4 linked regions of the Schizosaccharomyces pombe genome follow. Changing the gene in region 1 together with any one later gene gives a genetic interaction. Each region holds a gene or a part of one and is shown on either strand. Other genes may lie near its edges.

Evidence for each region.
Region 2: mutations in urk1 (region 1) and pfd3 together harm fitness less than expected from each alone (positive genetic interaction), as found in Schizosaccharomyces pombe (2 studies listed by BioGRID).
Region 3: mutations in urk1 (region 1) and pfd4 together harm fitness less than expected from each alone (positive genetic interaction), as found in Schizosaccharomyces pombe (2 studies listed by BioGRID).
Region 4: mutations in urk1 (region 1) and elp6 together harm fitness less than expected from each alone (positive genetic interaction), as found in Schizosaccharomyces pombe (2 studies listed by BioGRID).

What each region holds. Positions count from the first base shown.
Region 1 is NC_003421.2:1,554,215-1,561,135, reverse strand, and holds urk1 (uridine kinase/uracil phosphoribosyltransferase), read right to left. Parts: upstream 5,138-6,921; 5' UTR 5,030-5,137; intron 4,969-5,029; 5' UTR 4,692-4,968; coding exon 3,327-4,691; 3' UTR 3,223-3,326; downstream 1-3,222. Other genes in the region: serine/threonine protein kinase Ppk33, read left to right, coding at 1,896-2,912.
Region 2 is NC_003424.3:599,414-605,328, reverse strand, and holds pfd3 (prefoldin subunit Pfd3), read left to right. Parts: upstream 1-3,810; 5' UTR 3,811-3,843; coding exon 3,844-3,854; exon of another isoform or gene 3,855-3,903; coding exon 3,904-4,002; intron 4,003-4,046; coding exon 4,047-4,446; 3' UTR 4,447-4,503; downstream 4,504-5,915. Other genes in the region: poly(A)-binding protein Nab3, read left to right, coding at 1-314, 370-833; SPOM_SPAC3H8.08C (transcription factor), read left to right, coding at 1,578-3,269; inositol phosphorylceramide synthase Aur1, read right to left, coding at 5,145-5,915.
Region 3 is NC_003424.3:502,752-508,420, reverse strand, and holds pfd4 (prefoldin subunit 4), read right to left. Parts: upstream 2,513-5,669; 5' UTR 2,438-2,512; coding exon 2,066-2,437; downstream 1-2,065. Other genes in the region: serine/threonine protein phosphatase PP2A regulatory subunit B-55 Pab1, read left to right, coding at 1-218, 262-285; yip5 (Rab GTPase-binding protein), read right to left, coding at 1,129-1,878; atg10 (autophagy C terminal domain family protein), read right to left, coding at 2,829-3,368; yea6 (NAD+ transporter), read left to right, coding at 4,328-5,443.
Region 4 is NC_003423.3:1,863,078-1,869,206, forward strand, and holds elp6 (elongator complex subunit Elp6), read right to left. Parts: upstream 2,607-6,129; 5' UTR 2,532-2,606; coding exon 2,337-2,531; intron 2,255-2,336; coding exon 1,700-2,254; downstream 1-1,699. Other genes in the region: trm141 (actin binding methyltransferase), read right to left, coding at 291-749, 822-1,109; protein tam8, read left to right, coding at 1,443-1,676; palmitoyltransferase Erf2, read right to left, coding at 3,320-4,372. UniProt on the Schizosaccharomyces pombe protein: Component of the elongator complex which is required for multiple tRNA modifications, including mcm5U (5-methoxycarbonylmethyl uridine), mcm5s2U (5-methoxycarbonylmethyl-2-thiouridine), and ncm5U (5-carbamoylmethyl uridine).

The sequences.
Region 1 (6,921 bases):
CCCTACTTGAAAGTACTAGTTCCAAAAAATGTTAAAGAAATGCTTGAATATTGTAGAAAAAATGTAATCTATTTGTCAAGTTTAAGCTAAGAAATTGTCGATGAAAAGCGACTTCCAAGGTTTGATTAGACGAAATGCCAAAGACGTTAGTTGGATTATTTTTTTGAACGATCATAAAACTTTAGAGCATGACTTGCTTGGTTGCCAGCCAAAAATTACTTCTTAGAAAGAGGATTTAAGCTTCTAAGGAAATAGTGAAGGAGTTCAAATCTCGTATTCACCGAGATGTTTAAAGAAATCGTTAATCATATATCAGAAAGAGCAGCGAATGGACGATGGGAATTAAACTTAAGAGAAACGAAATTATTCCAAGGCTCTTGATCCAATCTCGTTAAAAGGTAAGATGAAGCGCTTGGAAATCACAGTCGTTATACTTCATTTCCTAAGAGATATTAAGCGTTACCTATGACAGACAGATCTGTGTAGGGTTGTTTGCTTCAAGACAATTCGAAAACTTTGACTTTGTAAAAAGGACAAATTGAAGCCGGACGAAGTAATTGCTGCACTTATTCTTTATATTATTTTTTTTATCAACGTCTATAATGGAACTCTGTGATTGCTGAGAATGAGATGTGGTTGAAATAAGTTGTTTCTCATGAAGGCATTATTTTCACATTAATCTCTTATTTATCGGAGATTGACTTACAAGACGCAGGAAAAAATTGGATACCTTTTATACAATTTCGAATTATATCCAAATTAGGCTAATGCGACAAACCGGTAAAATCATTTGACGGTTCTTTATTCCTTTTAAAAAAATGAACAACGCCCTTTTCCTTCCTTTTTCTTTTATGAGGAATGAGTGTATCCAAACCTAAAAATATCTTTAGACTTACAAAATCCTGCTTCTGTTATTCTTATATTTACTATGCATATTAAGTTCCACTTTCTGTTCTCTCCAGCATTTTAAAATAAAGCTTTGGACATAGGCCTTAACTCTGGCAACGCATTACGATAAGTTTGGAAATTCTTTTGTAGAGAGAAGCACTGATCTCAACGAAGCAACAGTATTATAGGTGAAGGAGAAAAAAGAAGCAGGGTCACTATGCTTCTTTTGTAGGTGTTTTATTAGGGGAACTTATTATGTAGAAACCTCCGTACTGCATTGTACTTCCATTGCAGTTTTCAGCCACCTCTTGTACACTGTGGGGAAGGAAGTTTCTCTTAACGTAGGTTGTCCCAAAATGGAAGAAAAATTATACTAACAGTTAAAACAACAAGGAAATTTGTGAAAATTTCTGTTTTTAAAGGAAATTCAGTGTAGAAAACGTGTAATGTGCTTTTTCACTCTCACCAACTAAATGTGGTTATCTTCCTTGGGTTAATTTAAGATTACTATTAACGAGTTATCTACAACCAATGGTCGTTTTGAGAAATAACATAAGCTTCGCTAATTTTAATTTTATCCAATCAAAAGGATAAGTTTTAAAGTTGCATTTAAACGACTCTATTGAAGAAGCATCATCTCCCTGATTCTTTGTTTACCCATAAATTGCTAAGTTTCTTTGTTCTCTGTACCTCCTGACTACAGGTATGGTGAATCTACAGACTCCATAATTCTCTGATTTATCCAAAACCAAATTTAATAAATAATTTTTTAACACTCGTTTTCAAGAAAAAAACCGAATTCTCTCTCTTTATTTTTTTTTTACACTAGTCAAGCTATCGAACTACAGGACCGTTTACTCAAATTAAGGCGTCGCAGCGCTTGAGTCAAAAGTGAGTTTTCATTTTGAAATGCTAAATGTAAATTAATTGTTCGCTAGCGTCCCTATCCACCAAAGTCAAATAGACATTGCTGCACCTTTGTGCTTTCTTTCCGCAGTTTTTTATACATGGGAAATAGTAACTCAAAAAGTGTTAAAAACGACAAAGAAAATTTTGAGGATCCAAATGCCACCAATTTTGAAAGTGTTTCTCAGTTCAAAATTCGAAATGTTATTGGGAAAGGAAGCTGGAGTACAGTGTTCGTCGTGAAACATCGTCAAACTAAGCAAAGGTTTGCTCTTAAATGCATCAATAAAAAGAAACACGACGAGCATAAGATCAAGAAGCTAAGAAATGAGGTTCTATTATTACAATCATTGAACCATCCTCTACTATGCAAGTTTTACTCTGAGTTTGAGGATGAAACGAAAATTTACTTAGTAACTGATTTAATGCTTGGTGGAGATCTCCGATACCATATTTCCCAAAGAAAATTCAATGAATCGGTCATTCGTATTTGGATGGTAGAACTAGTATCTGCCTTGATTTATATACATTCAAAGGGGGTGCTTCATCGCGATGTAAAGCCAGATAATATTTTGTTGGATGAGAAGGGACATTGCAAGTTGGCTGACTTTAATGTTGCAGCTAAAGTGCATACCTCATCTTCTCCTTCTAAATCAAACATGACTGTTGGTCGCGTTGGGACCCCTGTATATATGGCTCCTGAGACATTAATTCACGCTGTTTCTTATAAAGAATCAGACTGGTGGTCCTTAGGTATAACATTTTACGAATGCCTTTTTCAAGTGCGACCTTTTCCCAATCATCTTTTGATCAATTGGATTCGAGCTTCAGAGGAAGAAAAGGCTTCATCAGCAGATCGTTTATCTTCTGCTCTTCATATTTCTCGGGATAAAAAGCTAACTACTATCTCGAAAGATGCTCGTTCAGCTGTTATGGCTTTTCTAGAAATGGACATTAAGAAGAGGTTGGGTCACTCCAGCAAGAAACTTCAAACACATCCATTTTTTTGCTCTATCTCTTTGGAGACCGTTTCCAAGGGCAACCTGACTCCTATTTTCCGTCCGAAATCTGGAAAAGTATATGTTGACCCAATTTTAGATTTGGAGGCTACTTTTTAAACTAATGATTCAATGTTTACAAAACTAATTAATATATATGATTATTCAAAGATTCTCTCAGCTACGATTTGTCTTTCGGTTCATGTGTTACATAGTATTGCTATTTTTTTACTATTTTTTTTTGCTTGCCTGATAGTCTCGTCTCTTATTTTCCCTGGAAAAATTTTGACTGCGTTTCCACTTAAACTATTTCAAACTTCATTATTTATAACTTTGAATTTCTGAACTATTCTAATCGAGCGATACGAAATTACACGAATTAATTAATATGACATTTATATCACCAAACACCTGTTATCCGTAGTTTTCTGCAAGTAATAATCCAAACAAAGGGAATTCTTTAATAAAATGTACACTAAACTCCTAACAGACATTAAACTTTTGTTTTTTATATCCACGCATATAAATGTTATATCAGCATCCATAATACACTTTTTCGATATCCAATCTACCGACTACGGGTTCAGCAACACTTTCTAGAAATGCTGTAACAATGGTAACCTTTGGGAAAATATAAGCCAGCGCTTTAATACTTTCAGAGTAACAAACATAGACCACAATTATAATGTTTTCCTCTGGGACCCCGAAATCCACTAAAATTTGCGTGGCCATTAAGACATCTGCATGTGTAGTTAAATGTGAAGCCATCAAAACAACATTCATGGTAGCAATGCCACGGGGCAATTTATGGTAATGTAAAGTTGGTTCTTGAGTAACTTTATTGATTTGCACCAAAATCTTACCCAAACACACTGTTGGAAATTGACGACATAAAGCTGTTTCAAGAGTTCCGCCGGATCGCAAAACTGAAACACCACAAAGCTCTTTTGCCATTTGTAGACCTTCCCACTGGTTTCCGTTATGCAAAGTAATCGTTTTCTTTTCATATGCAAGCGAATCACCTGCCAAATTCATCAACATGGTGCCAATTCTGCTCAAAAAAAATTGTAAATCATCAGGGTGTGTATTTTTGTTTATAAGAATAGTCCTGATGGCAGATATTTCAGGCGTAATTTTAAGCTGAACTAAATTTAAGGGTAAATGGGGAATGGTTGGTACAATTTGCTGTAAACTATCAATGTTCTTAACATGAGTTTCACTTTGTATAGAAAGTGTTCTACGAATAAAATTAATCACCATATCAATTGCCAATTTATTGTCCCGGCCACGAGGAACGATAAGATCAGTGTAAGATAGTTGACGCCTAACGAAGTTCTCATAACTTGGCTTGACAAATTTATTATATTGTTCCAAAACGCCAACTATGTCCCTTCCTCGATAGTTGATATCGCGATTCAGTCGACGAGAGAGACACACGTCCGAATCTGTATCTAGAAAGACCGAGACGTCAAGGAGAGAGCGAATCTTTTCATCGTATAAAGCAAAAATCCCTTCGAGAATAATGATACTTGCTCCGAATAACGTGTTGGTCTCAGGAAGCCGATTATGCTCATTGAAGCTATATATAGGAATGTCAACTTTACGGCCTTGTTTAAGTTCTAGCAGTTTTACGAAGAGCAAGTCCCAATCAATGGCTTCGGGGGAATCAAAGTCATAGTCGTTGTTAAATGCTCTCTTCTTCTGCTCTGCATTCAAAGATTTGTAAAACGAGTCAAGGGATAAAATAACAACATGTGGAAGATTTAACGCCTTTACAATCAATTGGGCCACCGAGGTTTTCCCACTACCCGATGGTCCTGCAATTCCAATAAATCGCACTTTACGCCATGGGGGTTCATAAGTTGGGTTGCTTGAATAACGCTCAAAAGCTTCAGGCATAATAACGAAAGAAATAAAATAAATAAGAAGCCCAAAAAAAAGGTATGCTAGCCTCCAAGGAAATATTACTAAAGAAAGTTTAAAAAAAAAAAAACTGTAGAGCAAAAAAAGACTAATTGGTGAACCTAACGTTTTTTAAAAGGTAAATTCTGTCTTGGCGTGAAACGAAAATATTCCACAATTTGTAGAGCCAAAGATATTTATTCAAACAGAATTAATTCAAGTAGAATGATAATGGTTTCCTTATCTTACTCTTCTCAAACTTGCTTAGTTTTTTCTATAAATCACAAATCTCGAGTTAGCAATACCATTAGAAAAATATATATATGTATACGAACCCAAAGGAAGGAAAAATGTTAGGAAATTTTAACATAAATAGAAAGATTTTCGAAATGTCTTTTTAAATAACTAGTAAACTAGTTGAAACAATAAATTGGAGAAGGGTAAATCCAATATCATTGTTTTTTCATCCTTTGGTAACATTATCACTGTGACTTTTTCAGTCAGCGCCTGAGCCGCGGTAATCATCGGGAATAAAGAAAGAGCAGTTTGTTTGTAGAACGGAAGTGAGAAGTTTTTTTGCAATACCTATTACTAAATTAATGAATTATATGTAGATTTAAAAGAAATCCGGCAATTAATATTCGAAATTAATCAATTTTGACTATGTGAAAATTGTAACATTCGTGACATGTTGGAAGCTTGTACCAAAATTTGATATTTAATTTAACTTTAAAAATGTATTTAATAAAAATAGGCGACAATAAGGAAATTTAACATATTGGCTCAAATTCAAAAACGCAAGAGAAATCTTGCTTTGTTTATATAAATAACTAAATCAACACGACTAATACTTAATACGCATTTCTTAGAAAAACAGATTCAAATTATTTTTTACCTTCCAAAAATGATGAAATAAAAAGAACAGCTAGGTTGAGATCGTCTCAAAGTTCAATAAATGATTTTGCCGCTCGAAGATTTAGATTGTAGCTTTGCCATTTTTTTTAAACCTAAGAGAACTGACAAAAAGGAATATGAAAGTTTCTTTTGTGCAGAAGAACCAAGTAAATGGACATAAGTTTATGGCAGGTTTTATGATATTGAGAACTCGTCGCTTTTGTTCGTAATAGGCAATTAATTTCAAATTAGAAAATAGTATAAAGGATATTCAGTTTGACCCATCAAGTAGAGTAATCCGCTATTAATGGTGTGAAAAAGTAGAAAAATTTGAAAAAAGCGTACATTTTCGAATAGAAACCCATTTACATGCTTACTTAGCACACGCAAAATCCTTAAATTTCTCTTCCCTATATCGAGAGAAGTGAAAATATAGAATAGTGAATGCATCAAACGCAAAGATTTGAAGCCGGTGCAATGTTAAACATATTTGACGGCTAATCGTCACAAAAAAATGACATTGATGACCTCGAATTGCGCAAATTTTGACTTCATATTTAAAACTCGAAACTCATGAATATTAAGCCTAGATAATTTGTTCGCATAATTTCTTCTCAATCCCACAAATTAATTATCCATGTATCGATAGCAATGGAATCAATTGATTTATTAAATTAAAGTAGATATCTTCCCCTCCTCATTTGATTAGAAAAAAATCCTTGAATTTCACATCACATTTACTCGAAAAGTTTTATCATAAACTTGCTGTAGAATTGAAACTGTAACTGCAATTTAAACCAAATAAAACGCTTTTTAAAATAAACAAAAGAGTACCACATGACTAAATTCCTCATCTTCCTTTTACCAACGTTTGTTGTAATATATTACCCATGCCTTTAGTAATGATAAATTGCACTTATTGAGCTAGAAAATAGTGAATTGAAATAAATCTAATATTTTAACAAACGATATCACGCTATAGCCGTTTTATAATATTTGCCATCTTTTGTTCGTTTCACATTGACACACCTCCATCCTCTCTTTCCTTTCACCTATCTTGGCGAACGAATTCTTAACCTGCTAATTTATTCACTTCAGGAGTAGGAATTGACAAGTGAGAAAAATTAATAATTAAATATTTTTTTTAATATCGTTCTTTTACATTATTGATCCATTGTTTTTGTTAGTCATAATTGGGAATTGACTAGCTTTTTATTGGATTCCTCTTCATGTTCATATTTTACTCAATTAATCATTTCAAAGGTTAATTTACAAGCGTTTTGCTTGTATTCGTTTCTTCTTCATTTTCTTTCTAAACAGTTCCCCAAAGAAC
Region 2 (5,915 bases), on another chromosome or scaffold:
GAAGGGTAAATCCTACGATAGAAAGGGATCTATATCCATGTCTAAAAACTTCAGCCCTGATTGTGAAATACTAGTCACGGAAGACTGTCCAAAGGAATTTGTATGGGGAGTGGAAAAAGTCTTTCAGGAGCGTCGATTGAATATACATACCACTTGTTTGTACCGTGACTCAAACTTACAAGTCATTATTAAAAGCTGTATTATTAACAGCGTTAAATCCATTATCTTGATAAACGCCGGTTTGGCTCACCTAGGGAAGGTGTCGGTTCAAGTGTTTAAAGACGGATCTAGCGATTCAGAAGTCCGTTGTGATGGTACGTTGAATAAAGATATATGTGTTTTGACAGAACTCTAACTTTGTCTTTATAGAATATGCTGCTGTGGACGTGATGGTTGCTGCAAGTATTGTTCACCACGCAAAGACTTCTCTCATGCACTCAGCTGCTTCTAGTACGCCATCGTATAATGGTGAGCGTATTGTGCCTGACGTGCCATCTCCCTGTATATCAACGAATCCTAATCTACCAGCTTTAGTAGGTTCTTTAGATTCTGTTAATCTTCACCATTTATTAGGATTCATTCAAAATACCTATAGCACTACTTCATACATTCCAACTAGAGTTAGTTTTAATCCTAATGATACCGGAGGATCATTTGGAACAATTACATCTCAGTCCCAATTTGTTGTGAATGAGATGCCTAAAAATTATGCTCGTGATAATTACGAAGCATTGCATTCTCAAGAAAGCCGCCAAAGGTCTTCAGTTGCTGGAAACAAGCAACTTCAAAAGATATTAGAGCAGCTCGCAGAGCTCAAGCAACCTGATTTTTGATATCTGACCTTAGAAAAGGTTTATATATATTATTTGTTAACAAGTGTTTTAGGTAGCACTTTGTTAATATGGTTTTGCGATATATATGTCCTTGTCTTCAATATTTATTTCACTTTTTTCTCAGTTATTCTTGAAGCATTTATATGTAAAAACCAACAGACAAGTAATTTTTCTTGCTGCACGGACTATCAACTGTTCATTTGTATTTTTTTCGATGCATACAAAAAATGGTAATAAATCGTTAGGAAGAAAGTTTCGATACTTGATTTTTACTGATTAAGAGATTTAGCGAGTAAAAATTAATAACAACGACATATTTTTATTATTAATTTGATGATCATGAATGTCAAATGTCCTTTTAATATTTTACTACTTAGGTAAACGTGCAGTTTAATTGATCTGATAACAGCGATGCACTGCTACGCAACGCCGACTAGTACGTTGTAAGCTTAGTAAGTAAGTAAGTAGTAACTTTTATATTATAATCTTTTCATTACTAGTAATACAAGTGCCTCCCAATCTGAAGTTGCAATTAAGGAACTTTATTTAAAGTATATTATCAGGTTAATTTTTTTAATTAGAAATAACAACCGCTGGTCGGTCTGAATATCAAGGTGCTTTTAAAGGATTCTCTAAAATAGGAAGTTTTGAAGGATCCTCGTTTTATTTTGTGCCTCCACTTCAAATACGGAGGCAACTACAATTGCTTGAAAGGAAATTATCAAGTTATCAATACTTCTAATAATGTCTTCCTCTCCTCCAGCTTTAAAGAAATTTCGAAAACGCAGCCCAAAATCATGTTTAATTTGTAGGCGCCGCAAGGTCAAATGCGACCGTCAGCAGCCTTGCTCTCGATGTAAAGAAAGGAACGAGGTTTGCACTTACGCAGATGATACCATTGATAAAATGAACGTCGGACCACATCCTAGTCATAGCGAAAATGCTTCTGATTCTGAAACCACACTGGAAGTTTCTCCCGATATTAATCCGAAAAAAAATGAGAAATTTGATTTTTATGGATGGAGATCACTCTTTGAGTTGATTAAATATAGAAAGGATAGCGACATGTGCTCATCTCGACCTTCGTTTTCAATTCAGGCTTACAGTAGCTATAAAGATAATGTGGTTGTTGAGAGTTTGGCGAACCTTTTACCGCCATTTTGCATATCACAGAAAATTGTTAATTTATTTTTTAAAACACTAAATGTTGTCTGTCCTATTTATGATCAAGAGACAGTAGAAAAAAGCTTAAACAACATTGAATCACCAGAATCTTTTTCGTACGAAGATGCCTTCACTTTATTACCAATTATTGCTGCAACTATCCAGCTGAGCGATTTGCCTGATGTTATTCTCAATTTTTATAATTCGGCGGGGATTACTCCATTGGAATCCAGCCGTCTTATAAATTTAAAACTTAACGAGATATCCGAGCAGGAATATAAACATTTATGCTTGCCTGATAAAGAAATAATTCAGATGCTGCTTTTGCGAGCGTATGCAACAAAATTTCGCACAAGAATAAGAGGAGTGAATACTGACTTATGTAGAAGCATTCACGTATCAACCTTAGTAACTCCCCTCTTCCAAGTTACGGAAAAAATAGGAAAAAATACGTCAGATTTGTGGTTTGCTCTCTGTGAAATTGATGGTTTGGAATGTGTATTAAAGTACCGTCCGCCATTCATTCAACACGACACTTATGGTCGTCTCAAGCCGCTTCGTTGTTTTTTTAATGACGATATTAGCTACAATTTTCATCTACTTCTTGGAAGGTTACTTGATTGTGGTGTTTCAATCTATAAATCTGTTCATTCACTCACCGTTAGTAAATTCATTGATAAACTGGAGAGTTATGAATCACAGCTTTCGCTTATTTTGGTAGATATAGAAGCAAAGTTTTATGACCCTTCTAATGAAGATATTCAATTTCGATACATATTTTTGAAAATGGTGTTCTGGACTGCACGTGTGAATTTGTATCAATGTTTTATTACCCTGGATTCAGGGATTTTAGAAGATGAAGAAACTATTATTGGTAATTTGGGTGAAAGTTGTATTCAGTGCGTGAGGCTACTCATATCTCAAATCACTATATTAGAAAAACGAGGCTGGCTTTTGGTAGCGTTGTTGGAGATTATCCACGCCCTCATGTTGGCTGCGTTTTGCCGTGATAAAGGCTTTGAGGTGCCTTCTGACTTAGGTGACATAACATTATATGTACAAGAAAGAATGGTTGATATCGTAACATTTGATGATGGCATGGCTGTCCGATTTGGATATGTTTTAAGATTCATCAACAGTATGTTACACCCAAATGAACCGCCTATGCAAGATGCAGAACCTGAAACCACGGAGGATCCCTCTAAATTATTCGCTGACATTTTTGATTTTACTTCAAATTACTTTATACCGTCCGCCCTTCTTGATCAGTGACCTAAACGAGCACTTTGTAATTTTTTTGTTTGTATGATTGATTAAATTTCGATTAATGTTCCAAAGTGGTTCTAATGTCAAATTTATCTGCTCTTTTAATGACTCTCGTTTTTTAATGTAACTATTTTTGGTTCAATATAGACCATTTAGGAATTAACTTTCTTACTATCCTTCTATAAAGTTGTCTTTCAAATACAATTTTTTCAACAAAACTGCCTTTTCCAAACAGAATATGTTTAACTAAAATATGTGATTTCAAGTAATTAAAAAACGTTTAAAAAGTTTAGTGATATAAAACTCTCGCTAGTACTTTCAAATGAAAATGCATTACGCTGCGCAATGGTTCTATACAGGTTATGGTTGGTAAATTGGATGAATAGATTTTGCAACAATTATCAATTACATGTGTATAACCAAAATATTCTGCCTATTTAGACTGTGTAGTTCAGACTTGGTTAGATTTGGTAATTAGGGAATAATACGCATTTCCAAATTTGTAACATTACTATACCTATTACCTTTGACACTCAGTTACCTGTTCAAAACAACCGCCCCTTTTTCTGTTGCATAGAGAATGAGTTCTTCGTATGTACTGAAGTATAATACTTTTTAAAAAAATAACTAATATGAATAGAAATCCACGGGGAATTCCACCCGCTCAATTTTTTGAGTTCAAAGAGTTATCTATGGAGGAAGCTCAAGGTCATCTCGAAAAGTTCCAAGAAGCAATTGCGTAAGGATATATATGTTATTTCATATTAATATAATGTAATTTAGAAAGTACAAATTCATGGAGACTAGTGTGGTCAGGAGAGTTGCTAGTTTGGATGACAAAATTCCTGACATTCGAAAAACGTTACAGAGTGTTCAGTTCTTGAAAGAGCGACAAGGTGACTCTTTTACTGTTACATATGAACTAAATGACACATTAAATGCAAAAGCAGAAGTAGAAGCTAAAGACAATGTCTACCTTTGGTTAGGTGCAAATGTTATGCTTGAGTATACGGTTGAAGAGGCAGAAGCATTGTTAACGCAGAAGCTGAACTCAGCGGAAGAAACATTGAAAGCATGTAAAGAAGATTTGGAATTTTTGAGAGCTCAAGTCACTACAATGGAAGTGAATACAGCTCGCGTGTATAACTATACAGTTTTGCTTAGGAAAAAAACAAAAATGTAGTTAGTCAAAGCTGCTTAATTTCTTTATAAATGTTTCCAAAATATATTATCATTTTAACACATTTGCTTATCCTTAATGTCTCTTTAGTGTGTGTAACAAATGATAGAAAAAACTATATTATTATAACAATATTCTTATTTTAGAAACGTATAACCAACATTTGTATAAAAACGCTTTACAGAATAAAAAAGGATTACATTAATGCTCCGTTCTGGATTTTCGTGCAAACAAGCAATAAACTAAATGAATAAAACAAGCCTTCTCACACACATTTCAAACCAAATTTAAAATTATGTCAAACGATTTAAATCACAACAAATAAGGAAAATGAAATTCTAAATGTGTTCCTTTCACAACAGTTGACAGTGTAAGAAGCTGGATAAAAGAGTTCTTTATTAACGGAAATGATAAAAAAACGACAAATACCTATACATCACACTGGAAGATACCCGGCCTAATCGCTGTTAAGAGTTTCGAAAAGGAAGTGGAGACCAAAAGCGGTATTAATACCAAAATAGCTTCCTTCAAAATTAGTGATACAAATTAATTTTACAAATTGTAAAGAATGACTCAATGGATGTCAGATTAACAGTTAAAAAACACAATGAACAACATCATTCCAATACCACTATGAATCAAACCGATTCTAGTCAATGTATCATGTAGCTTTTGGAAATATATTCTTAAAGCACGTTGATTTAAGGAAGATGACTTGCATCAAAGATGGAGGAAGTGGTACTGGCAGGACGATCAATCAAATCAGCAGCAGGACTAGGTAACGGCTCAGGTGATGATGAACCCACGGACCATTCATGATCGGTGTTAGCAAGTTCCATATTGTTAAGACCACTCATGAAGGCTACTGCATTAGGGTTTTGAGTAAAAGAATCCCTTCCAAGTAAGTATGGGCTGCCGGTACGAGCCAAGGAGTTGCTGGTTTTTTCGGAAAGACCATGACCGTGGATAACAAACTCGTATTCCCAACGAAGGATTTTACCAGTTTGCAACTGTGGGAGGCGTAGCTTTTGAGCAAAAACGAAGCATATAATAGCTAAACACATACCGCCGACCAAATCTACAAAGTAGTGGTGGGTAAGGTACATAGTACACCAGCAAAGCCATAGAACATATCCATAAAAGCAGAAGCGGTATCGAGGAAACACATGCGAAAGGAAAAGTGCTTCCAGCATGGCCCATCCAGCGTGAAGAGATGGAAAGGCACCAAAAACAACCGGAGAGTTAGAAAAACCATCAGTGTAAATGCTAGTGCCGAAGAGAGCATCAATACGGGCCAATCCACCAGGAGAGCCACGTACTGCATACGTGGCAGGTTCTAAACCATACATATTTTCATACCAAGGAGGAGAACAGGGGAAAGCCATTTGGATAAGAACACCAAATAAATTCATATAACCAAAAGTTCGAGCCCAAACTGGAAGAGTTCCAGGAGGTGCAAAGATGAAAAGAAT
Region 3 (5,669 bases), on another chromosome or scaffold:
AAGCCGACAAGGCTGCATTTAGAGCCAGAAAATCTGCTGCAAATAACGTTCCAAAGTTGAATGCTGTGAAAAATAATGATTGGCGGTCACAACCTCAAGCTGCGATGGGATCTGCTTCTGTTGGCCTTGATCCTGATAACCTGGATTACAATAAGAAGATATTACATGCCAGTTGGCATCCCTTTGAAGACTCAGTTGCCATCGCCGCTACTAATAATGTACGTTTGCTTATCAACTTTTTGTTTACTAATGTTTCAATAGCTTTTTGTTTTCTCTAAGCTCTAATGTCCTTATGTGGAGTTTGGTTTGTTTTTATGATCTACGGATAGACTGAACATAGTTCCTTTTTTATTGAACTTCCGGGAATAAGAGTTTTCTTACCTTCTTCTTTCAGATTGTATTCTTATATACACACACCATTTTAACCATTAATGACAGAAATAAAGTTTTTAGGACTAATGATAAAAGGGTGCTTTGTTTATCTCCCTTCATGTATGCCGTGAATCGATACATATGTACTTTGCTATCCACAGTATTTTTCTTTTTCTCTTTTTACGTGTTCCTTTTTAATCTTGAAATTGTGGTGATGCATCGTAAATTTCAACGTTTTTTCAATATCTCACAAAGTTTTTTTCTCTTGTTGAAAAAAATCTGAATTTGAAATCGTAAAAGTACTTTTCAGGTTAAGCTTCACCATTAATTTACCTTCAGCTCTTTTTTGTTGAACAACGAGTAATAATGTGTTAAGTTTTCTATATAAATGACGGGAGATCGATTGCAAAAATATGACTAAATGTCATAAAGTCTTTGGTTCACTAAAAAGGCTACAATTATTTTTACTAAGGCATGATTCATCAATGCATAAGAAATGATTATTTATACGTATTTTGCACCTGAAAAAAAAACCTAGTAAATTGAGGGAACATTAGTAGCTATAGTAAAAAGAGTAGAAAATCAAATGTAAAGCGAATATATGTATAAACTGAATCATATAGAGTATACCAACACTTAGACTCAATAGGATCTTAAATGCTGAATGACTTTTCTAAAGAATGAAAGAAGGGGAATAGTATAATTTTCGAATGAAGCAATGCGACTGATAAAAGAAACTCCTCACAAATTAGGATATTAACTGAAGAATATGAGTTGAAGAGACAAAGCGAGCAAACAGTGAAAGACGATAATTCCGAACAATAAAAGTTTGCACAAATTTGATCCGGCTTGCTGACAGATAGGATATAAATTTCTAGTTAAAAACACAATGGAAATTAACAAACCAATCCCTGTAAGTACATATTTGACAATATGGGAGGCCAAAGTAGATAGCAATCCAAACGGAGGAGTTGCTAAAGAAACGGGAAGCCAAACAATGTTAGCATATCCATATAAACACAGACAGTCGAGTAACTTAGGGTTGCATTTGTTCCACACTAGGATACCCCATAACAAAACGGCGATAATGGTAGTGTAACCATAAATAATTGATGCTGCAGAGATCAACTTTTTTATAGAATAGCCACTTGTACCATGCCCTGTGGCATAACGAGCGTATTCGGTAATTGAGTTGGAAAAGAATAGAGCCTGTATAACCGTAGTGGTTATCCAAAAAGGACCGTATAAATCGGGACGATCATCTACAACATCAAAGAAATTTACAGTGGGAATAAGAGTATGTATACATCGTTGAACCACATCTTTAGTTTCCACGTTAAATGAATCTTTGATGGTCCATGGCGTCTCTTGCATGGATGCGCGACGAGATTGTAATCTAGGGGCCGGAGGCTTTGTAATGGGAGTTCTCTGCTTATAAAGGTCTTCAGCCTCAAATGTTGTACGACCTAGGTCAGCTTCCGAGTCAATTTCAATCTCATGTGCCATAGTGGTGGTTGGATACTTGTAATGGCTTAGGGTGAACAAAGAAGTTTACTTATTGGAGGCGCTAATTGCATACAGATTTGGTATTGTGAATAAATTTAAATGCATGAAATGTTATTTAATTAAAGAAACTAATTCAGAAAAATAAGATGAAGCTTCTAATTTTGAGATTTGCTGCTTTTTCCAAATCTTAGTCTAGGTTAATTTGATCGTGAAATTTAGAGTACAGCATTGATTTCAACTCTTGAATGCGGGTTTCGTCTTTTTCCATGGAAGATCTTAATACGTCGACTTGCTTTTCCAAACTTTCTTCTGACTGCTCAAGCTGGTCAAGGAGTACAGGAAGGGAAACTTGGAAAAAGGCATCGCCAACCTTTAAAGCTGGAATATCGTCTCCATCATCCTCGTCTAGTAATTCACATTCATTTTTAGCGTCAACAATATCCTCTATTTGCGTTTTTAAATTCTTAATATCAAGTTCTTGAATGGCCTTTCGAGAATGCAACACTGAAAATTCATTTAAATTCCTTTGATCTTCTGCTAGAACAGGAACTTGTTCCATATTTGTTGCTAAGGTGTGTTAGGAGGAATAGTATATAACCCGGTTTCGTTTGTCTTAACAAACAATTGTTGGTGTAGAGATCAATGCGGTCAAGTAGAGGTTTAAGTGGAACAGTTGAATGATATGTCAAAACAGAAGGATTATTAATTAGTATAGTATTTTATCTACAAATTTAAAGAACAAAAGCTATTTTCTACAATTGAGGTCTTCAGATCCGTAATGTTTTTGCTGTCAAATAACAGGTCAAAATTTTACTATAGATTCACAGGGTATTATAAACTAAAACCAGAGAATACGGATTAAATTGACTTTTAATTTAGTTTTAATCATGGGGAATAATATTTAATAAGACAAAGTCTTAGCAAGCATACCCGTTTATAACAGGTTATCTTTAGGATTTTTCGGCATCGTCAACTGCTTTTATTATAGGCTGAGTTAGCGGAGAAAGGACTTGATGAATATATAGCAACCAAAGAGAGAGATACTTGGGATCCTCTTTGTCTATCTGAAGCATTTCGAAATAATCACGCGTACGACATGGATGGATATACCATGCTATGCCTACTGTACCTGGACAGTCCCCAATAGCAAGAGCGTCATATGCTAAATTTTGACTGGATCCTTCTAATAACTCAAAAATCTGTTCCATCTTGGTAAGAGGATCTGATCCGTTTGCATAAGGTTGAAAGAAGAACTGCGGGACTTCGAAGGATGGAGAATCCCTAATCCAGGCGTGCATAGTGATCATTGGATTCATAAGGCTTAAAATATCATCTTCTTCCTGCTCGTATAATAAGGAATCATTTTTATCAAGTAGCTCAGTATGCCATTCTAACTTCAAAATACACTCATCAAACTCAATCAACTCACAAGAAATACCACCTTTCGACAGCTTCTGAGCAAGGATAAGTAATTGAGACTTAAAGCTCATTATTGTCACGGTTAGCCAATTTAATCACTTTATCTTTGCTAAAGCAATAAGTAATTGAAGAAGGAATTATTGTCCCATAAGCCTGGCTACAGTCTGATTGTTCAACGCACTATTCCAATGAGGGCAATAGAGGCAATCACCTGTCAATATATTTGAAGTTAAGTCTCGACAAAAATGGTGTTTCAGTTATTTACAAGTATATTAATTCTACATCTTGCTTCTAAAGTTGACAATAAGAGTATGACAAAACAGTACGTTGGAGTTTACAAAGTTATCCAACAATATAGTGGTACACTGTGTAGTTACTACGTTTTCAACATTTCTTCTCAGCAAATGTAGGATTTCTTAAAAAAATAATTTTTTCGACTAGAAATTGGCGGTAATCAAGAGAAGCTAATGTATAAAAACAATATGTTTGGACTTGGAAAAAAATGAAAAACTAAGGTTTTATATTAGTAATTTCCTCTTAATACTTATACGAGCAAAAGCAAAAGCAAAAGCACTGTTCCAATGGTGCTTATAAAGCCAACTGATCTGTGAAGTAAAATTGAGATATGTGTGTAAAGCTGTTAGCAACATCAATGTCACCATTATATATTGTTAATGGGCATTACGACTTTAATCATATCTGATATGCACATATAAAAGAAATTCTCTTTTAAGGGCATGGAACGTCCTCTCAATTAGTAATTCGGAGACATTCATGTCGTTAATGTGGTTTACCGCACAGTGATTCGACTTTCTTATTGACGGCTGCCAAACACTTTACTTACATATATGTTGTTGTACAGCTTCTTACATCAACGCTAAAATATATATACATTTCCAATTTGAAACATCGTAAGGCGTTGGATCGTTCTTATCAGCGTCTAAAAAAGTAAAGAATTTGTCAAGGTCTATTATTTAATTGCTGTTTTCTTTAGATGCATGCATTATCATCAGGAAATTGATCCGTCTTTATGGTTGATGATTCTCTAAAGGATGCTATAGCAGGAGGAGCTGCTGGATTGGCCTCTTCTCTTGTAGTGGCACCTTTAGATGTAGTAAAAACAAGAAAGCAGGCACAAAAGGCTTTTTATTCAACTGGTGGTGGAAAAAATACAATGGTTTTGGGTGGGACCCTCAGTTCGATGCGAACAATTTTTCACAATGAAGGCATCGCCGGTCTTTATAGAGGTGTTGGACCCATGATGTTAGGTTATCTTCCTAGTTGGTCCATTTATTTTGTAGTCTATGAAAAATGCAAAGTGCTATTTGGGGTAAATAAAAAATACACTTCTCTCCACGAAATTGATTCGTCCAAGGTTGGCATCAAGGCTTCCTTAGATAGTTCTGACAAACAATTTTATCGTTACTGGGGTGGTCAAATCTTTTCTGCGGTTATCGCCGGTGCTGCAAGTGTCACTCTTACTAACCCCATTTGGGTTGTAAAAACAAGGTTAGTCACTCAATCACATCCTAGGGCTTCTTCTTTTGTAGATAAAATTGCTGCGGCTACAACCGTCCAGTTTCGTAATCTTCAAACGGACGCACCATCCGTCAAATGGAGAATGCCTCGCTTTTGGCTCAAGCGTAGGACGAATGTCAAATCTTCTCCATCACAGCATCCAGTGAATCCTCCCACAGGCCCTGCATGTTCACCTGCATACAACAACACATTTGACGCATTTCGAAAAATTTATAAATACGAAGGCCTTGCAGCATTTTACCGAGGTCTTTTCCCCTCTTTATTTGGTACATTGCATGTTGGCATCCAATTTCCACTGTACGAATATTTTAAATCATTTTTGGATGATTTTTTTGGTAAAAAAAGCAACTTTCATATAGTGTTAGCAGCTACTTTGTCTAAAATCGCAGCTTCTACCGTCACTTATCCTCATGAAGTTTTGAGAACTCGGTTGCAGAGTTTGGATGCACCTACACACAACTCGGCTACCTTACTTATTCGAGACATATGGCGTTCAGAGGGTTGGAGAAAATATTACTCTGGCATGGCAACAAATTTTATACGCACCATACCTGCCAGTTCGGTTACCTTCCTCAGTTTCGAAATTGTTCGCAAATGGCTGAACTAATTTATCCGTTGTGTATATACTCAAGAAAACGATCAAAGTCTTTATTTTTTTAACGACAATCCAAGGTTAATCAGTTTCCTTGAGATGTGTGCATGATTTCTAATATTAATTATTACTGTCTCACAGCTGTTAGGTTTTCCTAATTCTTATTCTTACCCCCTCTCATCAATATTTATTTAATAATTACCTTTTATTAAGCATTTGTTTCTTGTGTTACCAGCCCAGC
Region 4 (6,129 bases), on another chromosome or scaffold:
TCATTCCAAAAAAGTTGAAACAAAAATATTTAAAAGCAGCTAACGCTGAAGGTGGGTAGTAAGTAAAGTTATACTAGTCACTCGTTGATAACAATTAAATAGCATATGCGAGTGTAGTTTAAGAAAACAAAGATTTTCTATTTTTATTAATTAAATTATCAAAAAACTAAAGTTACTGTCATAAACCTTACAATAAAACTCAGGACTCATGTCTAAAACGGATTACATTAAAAGCCCTATATAAAAGAATAAAAAATACGCAAACAAAGAAACTTTTTCTACCAAAGTATTCACAGCTTTTTCCAAACTCCTTGTAAAAACGTACGCTTCATATTTAAGTTACGCTTTCGGTTGTCAACGGTGCGATTAACTCGATCTAATGTTACTAAGCCAAACCCGGCGCTTTTCATCCATTCAGCAATATCTTCTTCTCGAAAAAAAAGTGATAAAGTTCCATCCTGTCTAACGAACGTCTGTTCATCAATCATAGATGGGTCACCGCTTGTCATGAATTTCTCTTGAGCAAAATCGCCATCACAGTAATCACGAAACACCAAATGCCCTCCTGGCTTTATGACTGAAGCCAAGTTCTTAATAGAACGAAGCTGCTTCTCGCGTGGAATGGCAGATAATACAAAGATGGCAGTTAATGTATCAATGCAAGCAGAACCCAAAACTTCAAGCAAAGAATCTTCGGTTATATCATTAACAAAAGGAAAAACTCTATTTTCGTTATAACAGGAATGCTTCTAAATTAAGACAAAGGTTAGTAAATTAAATATTTCAGAGCAAATTGGCATAAATTTAGTAGCTCTCCTTACCTTCACAAAATCTATAGCACGAGGACTAAAATCACAGCAGTATATCTTCAAATTTGGTTGCACTTCTAGCAGAGGATAGACGAGGTTTCCAACACCGCATCCGACTTCAAGGATAGTCAATGGCAACTTATCGGGCAATCCAAAATAACAATCGAATTCACGATCAAGCCAGTGTCTATCTTTGAAAAACCTTGTTTCATTTCGCTTGTAAAACTTATCCCAAGACTTTTTCGACTCCTTTTTATATTTTTCAACCCAAAAATCACTTAATTTTGATATACCACTCATATCTCCTAACAATTTCGTAGCACGGTCTTCTATATGTATGAAAGATGTTTCAAAATATTACCCAACCCAGTAGTTATTCCAAAAAATGCGATAAAAAATTTGTATGACAACGATTTACCCTACAACCTTCAATGAATACCAAACTGGCTCGATCAATTTTTTTTAAATTAAAAAAGCACTATTTTAAATAAAAAAATAACCAAACCTAGTTCGTTAATTCCAAATTCACAAATCAATGCACACTGTGCAGAGAGCGTCTTGTTCTTCCTTGTAAACCTACACCTATACCAATTCGCGCGCACCTTGTGATACTCGCAACTCTACAAATATACAATGAATAGGACTTCAGAAAGTGTGGAACCTCAACAAAATGAAAAAACAGCAGTGCATTGGAGCAGAGAATGGGTTCCTGTTGTTGTAGATACATATTCTAATGAAGATGATGAGGATAATGAAGAAGGAGATGAATCCAGGCCTCAACGAACATTTTTAGTAAAACGGTGGGTGCAAGATAATGTACAAGTGGAAAAGAAGGGAGACGAAGAGACTGCAGCAGCAGATAATTGAGAAAAAGTAGATGAAGTAGGAATTTAGAGTTGCAGCGTCACCTGCCCTTTGGAATATACCTTAGCACCTGCTTCCGTTACCTCGTATAAAAGCTCCTTGTCATCATCCTCCGGGGTCTCGCATATTCCACTACGAAAGTGATTTGGCATTCGAGAAAGACGCAGGAATCCGGTGATTCGTCGAGCGCTACCGCTAGTCAAAGGCCGACAGGAAATACATCTAGTTGCCATGTGTCCGATTGAAGAGCCTAAAGACTTTTGTTGTGGTAACGGAGCTCCCAAAGTCACGTTTACAATGACTCTACTGAAACATTTTCGTAATTCCAAAATTGCCTGCTGAATCTTTGTGGAATCGAGAGCATGAGTACTTTGTAAAATATCAATATCTTCTATGATGATCGTGGAGTTTTCAAATTCAAAATCGTTTTCCTCCACACATTGGATCACAGGCGCGAAAACAGATTTGATGTGATTTTTGGTTTCTGGTGCTTGTACCTTCGAAGGCTTGGAAATAGGAGCAAATAGCATGCTGAAGCCATCGATAAAGAAGAAATTTTTTTTCGTTTTAATATCCATTCCCTAATATTGGTTCAGTAGGTTAGTCATACGAATAGTTTATCATTCAACCACTTATGCAATCGTAATCCCTCTTTTTACATACCCATTTACGCATACTAATTGCATGCTCATCTAAGGTTTTACTGAATGTTAAAAAACAAGTACTTTCCTTTGCTTTCAACGCATGGTATAAATAATAATGGAACAGAAATGTGACAGGTGTTTCTCTTGTTCCCAGTAGCAAAGTTAAAGAAAAAGGCTCAGGAATGGGGCGTAAATGCTCGTGTAAAGAAGACATTAGGTTTAAGAGCCGTTTGTCATTAGTTTTATAGCCTAACTACAGTAACCAGCTTTCCGAATGGTTGTAGAGGGTGAATGGAAAACACAAGCCTGGGAACGGAGCAACATGAACCAGAGTAAGAATGAACAAGCCGGTCAGTAATGCAAAGCTAGTTCTAATATTATAGAAGTTTCAAGTATCAAATTAAAGAAGTCTAATACCAAATTATTTTCCAGAAAACTATCCTCTAAATGTGGATAAGCTATTTCATTAAAAAAAGAAAAACTATCTACCTATGGAACATTGATTTGCCTAAAAGGCAATCATAATAATAAAAAAGAACAATAAAGAGCAAATCCCAATAAATTAGACTGGAAAGGGGTTTAGCTAAAGGAGGTAAAACCATCTATCTATCATATAAGTCATAAAAACAAGCAGCATTACTTTAAAAATAAAAGAGAGCAGCCAAATTAAATATTAATAATTCCAGAGATTGGTGAGAACAAGGAATAGTTTTATAAACATTTGTTTCTGTACATTGTTCTCTGTAAAGTACAAAGGGCGAGCTGAAGGGGTCGACGACAAGGATGAAAAAAAAGAACAAAACATTATCCAGGTAAAAATTTTGAAGAGGGGAGTAATCTTTTTTATTCCGGTTATTAAAACCAAATTAATTTCGGTACTGAAAAGTAAATTGGTAAGGGGAAGATGAAAGAGTGTAGCATATATGCGTGAGCGATTTGAGCATTATTGTCTAGCAAATAAAAAATTTTTATTTCTTATTTTCTTTGTGAAGCCAAGGCATATTACACGTAAGACTTCCTAGTGGGACGAACGTAACTCACATTTTTAGGACGACAAAGGACAACCAGAAAATTGAGCCATATGCTGTCATGAAAAGGATGTACATCTTCAGTTTCTGTACTCTTTGCTCGTAAGTATTCATGAACATTCTGACCAACAGATATTAAATAGCACTGGTAACAGAAAAGGATGCCAGGAAGTATTGCTCCAAGTGCCCCATAAATGCCAAGGAAGAAAGATACGCCAGCCCATGGACGACGAAGATGCGCCGCAAAATTTGTATCTGTGGATTCATGAAAACTTCCTATAGAAGTATAGAACCCCAATCCAGTTAGATACAAAGCTGAAAGAACGACAGATAACAAAAAAATAAAATAATATCTGTAGTTTCGACGACCAATGCAAGTGTTTAACCAAATGCAGTGATGATCAAGGTATTCAACACAATTATCACATAAATGACAATGGCTTGCACGTGGAGGACGATATAAGTGGCACGTATGGCAATAAACTGTATTAACAAAGACAGAGTCAGACCGAGTGGATCCAACAAGGACTTTACGGTCTTCAGGAATTACAGACCAGGGATGGGCAGGGTTATAAGTTAAAGAATATGCATTTCTAGGAAGAATTCCTGGATCAGCAGTCGAGCACTTGAACATGGAAACAACGGCTAAGGCATACAGGTAAGCAAAGGTAATAGGGACAGCGGGAGAGACATGATGCCAGAGCCAAAAAGCAGAAAAGATGAAGAAAAGGACTCCTGGAAGAATCAAGGCAAACAAGCTAATGAGGAAAGCTTTGTACTGAGATGACATTTGCAATCGACCACAACATAAATAGATATTGTTTCCTGGTAAATTCTTATATCGGCTTTCAATATGCGGTACTTCCGGAACATCATCAGGAACGGATTGAAATCTATAAGGAATTTGGTTCTTTTCTTCCAAATTCATGGGATACGTTGGATCAGACAAAGTCACCTCAAATGGATTCCATGGCTGATTCCACGCGTAGCGGGATGCCTTAGCATCACTGTGTTTCTCATAGCTCATGATTATATTCTCTAAACAACAAACATGGCAAAGAAACAGCTATTTTTACACCTGGTATTATATCTTGTAGTTTTGTTGTCGGTAAGGATATGAACCCCTTTTGCGATGGAGGGTGAAGTAAATATTAGCATCCGCCAAAGTTTGTTTACTAAGCAAATAAAGAAATCAAAATAAATAAACAATTAGAGAATGTGACTCTAATAACTAATATTTGGAATGGCGCCTATTTAATCGATGAGAGTGTATTAAAAAGAGAAGGGAAATAAAAACAGAATATGAAATGAAATGCTAAAAAAAAAAATACTAACCGAAGAAATAAAATTAATAATAATAAATAAAGTACTTATTTTTTTTTTACGAATAAAATGTAAAAAAAATTATTTAAGAGTGCCAATATATTAGTATTTATATTTTTCAAACTTTTTATTTAAATATATTTCATCGATACTGTAATTGGAACATCCTGTCAGTACAACAATTCAGGGCTCAAAGTTAGAAAAATCAAGTTTAATAAATTATACTATCCGTGCAATTTCGGGTTTGTAAAGAAAGTGGATAATATATGGAAAAATTAGTAATATATGACTCGATAAAGACTCCAAAGACTAAGATAAAAGACCAATATCATGGGAAGTAGACTAGCTAGTAAACCATTTTCATCTTGTGTATTATGTTTTTTTTTTTTTTTTTTTTTTTTAAAATGGCTAAATAACTAGCAGGAAAATAATGGGAGGGTGTAATTGAGAAAATATTAGAAATGAAGGTACGGAAGCAACGAAAAAAGATCTTAAAAGTTTATTAGAGTGTTGCAACTATTGAAATTATGATTATCGCGAAGCTATTAATGAAAGGGCTAATTTAAAGGATCATCTCTATACTTTCACTAGCCCCGAAATAACCCAATAACCTCTATGGCTTGTAAACAAATAACTCAAGAAACACGGTATATGGTCAGTTATGGATGAAATTTTGAAGAAAAATTATTACTAATCTACATCTAAGAAAAACCATCCTGGCTTCATTCACTGTATTTAGTGGAAATGTAGTTCACAAGATTATCGAATTAGATTGTTATTCCTCAATATGCATGACTCCAAGCGGTCCTTTGGTTTTATTTCCTGTTTTAAAGGGAAATGAATTAAATTCTTATTCCTTAGAAAATCTCAATGACGCTTTTAAACGTACTTGTACATTGGACCTACTTTACTGGAGAAACATTTGCGGTCAGCAACTACTATTAAGTTACTAACCTCATGGCAGCTAAATTTTGAAAAATGACTATATTTATTTATAATGGTACGAACCATTTTTATTTGTTTGCGAAGTTTTTTAGTGTTCTCTTCTTATTATTTACAAATATAATCTTAGGAAAAGTTTAGTAAATAAGTGTCCTAACAAATTCTATAGTATAATACAAGGGTAGAGGTAGTATCTGAAAAGTATTATAAAACTGTATAAAGCAATATAAATACAAGGGCGGTTCGATCCCGATTGCAAACGCTGGAAAATCTAGAAATATTGGAAAGTTGCTTCTTTCACCACTTTAGTAGAAGGAGTTGGTGATTATTATGATATTATTATCCATTCAAATTTGAATCTCTTAATGCGCACCGTTGCTACGTCTTGTCTGCGTCAGGTGGCGATCCCCATAAATATTGATGCTTGTCATAAATGTTGCGAATGTTCGCCTACGTATTTCATTTTGACATTTACAATCATAAAAGGATTTTAGATCCTTTCCATCTCGAAACAATTAA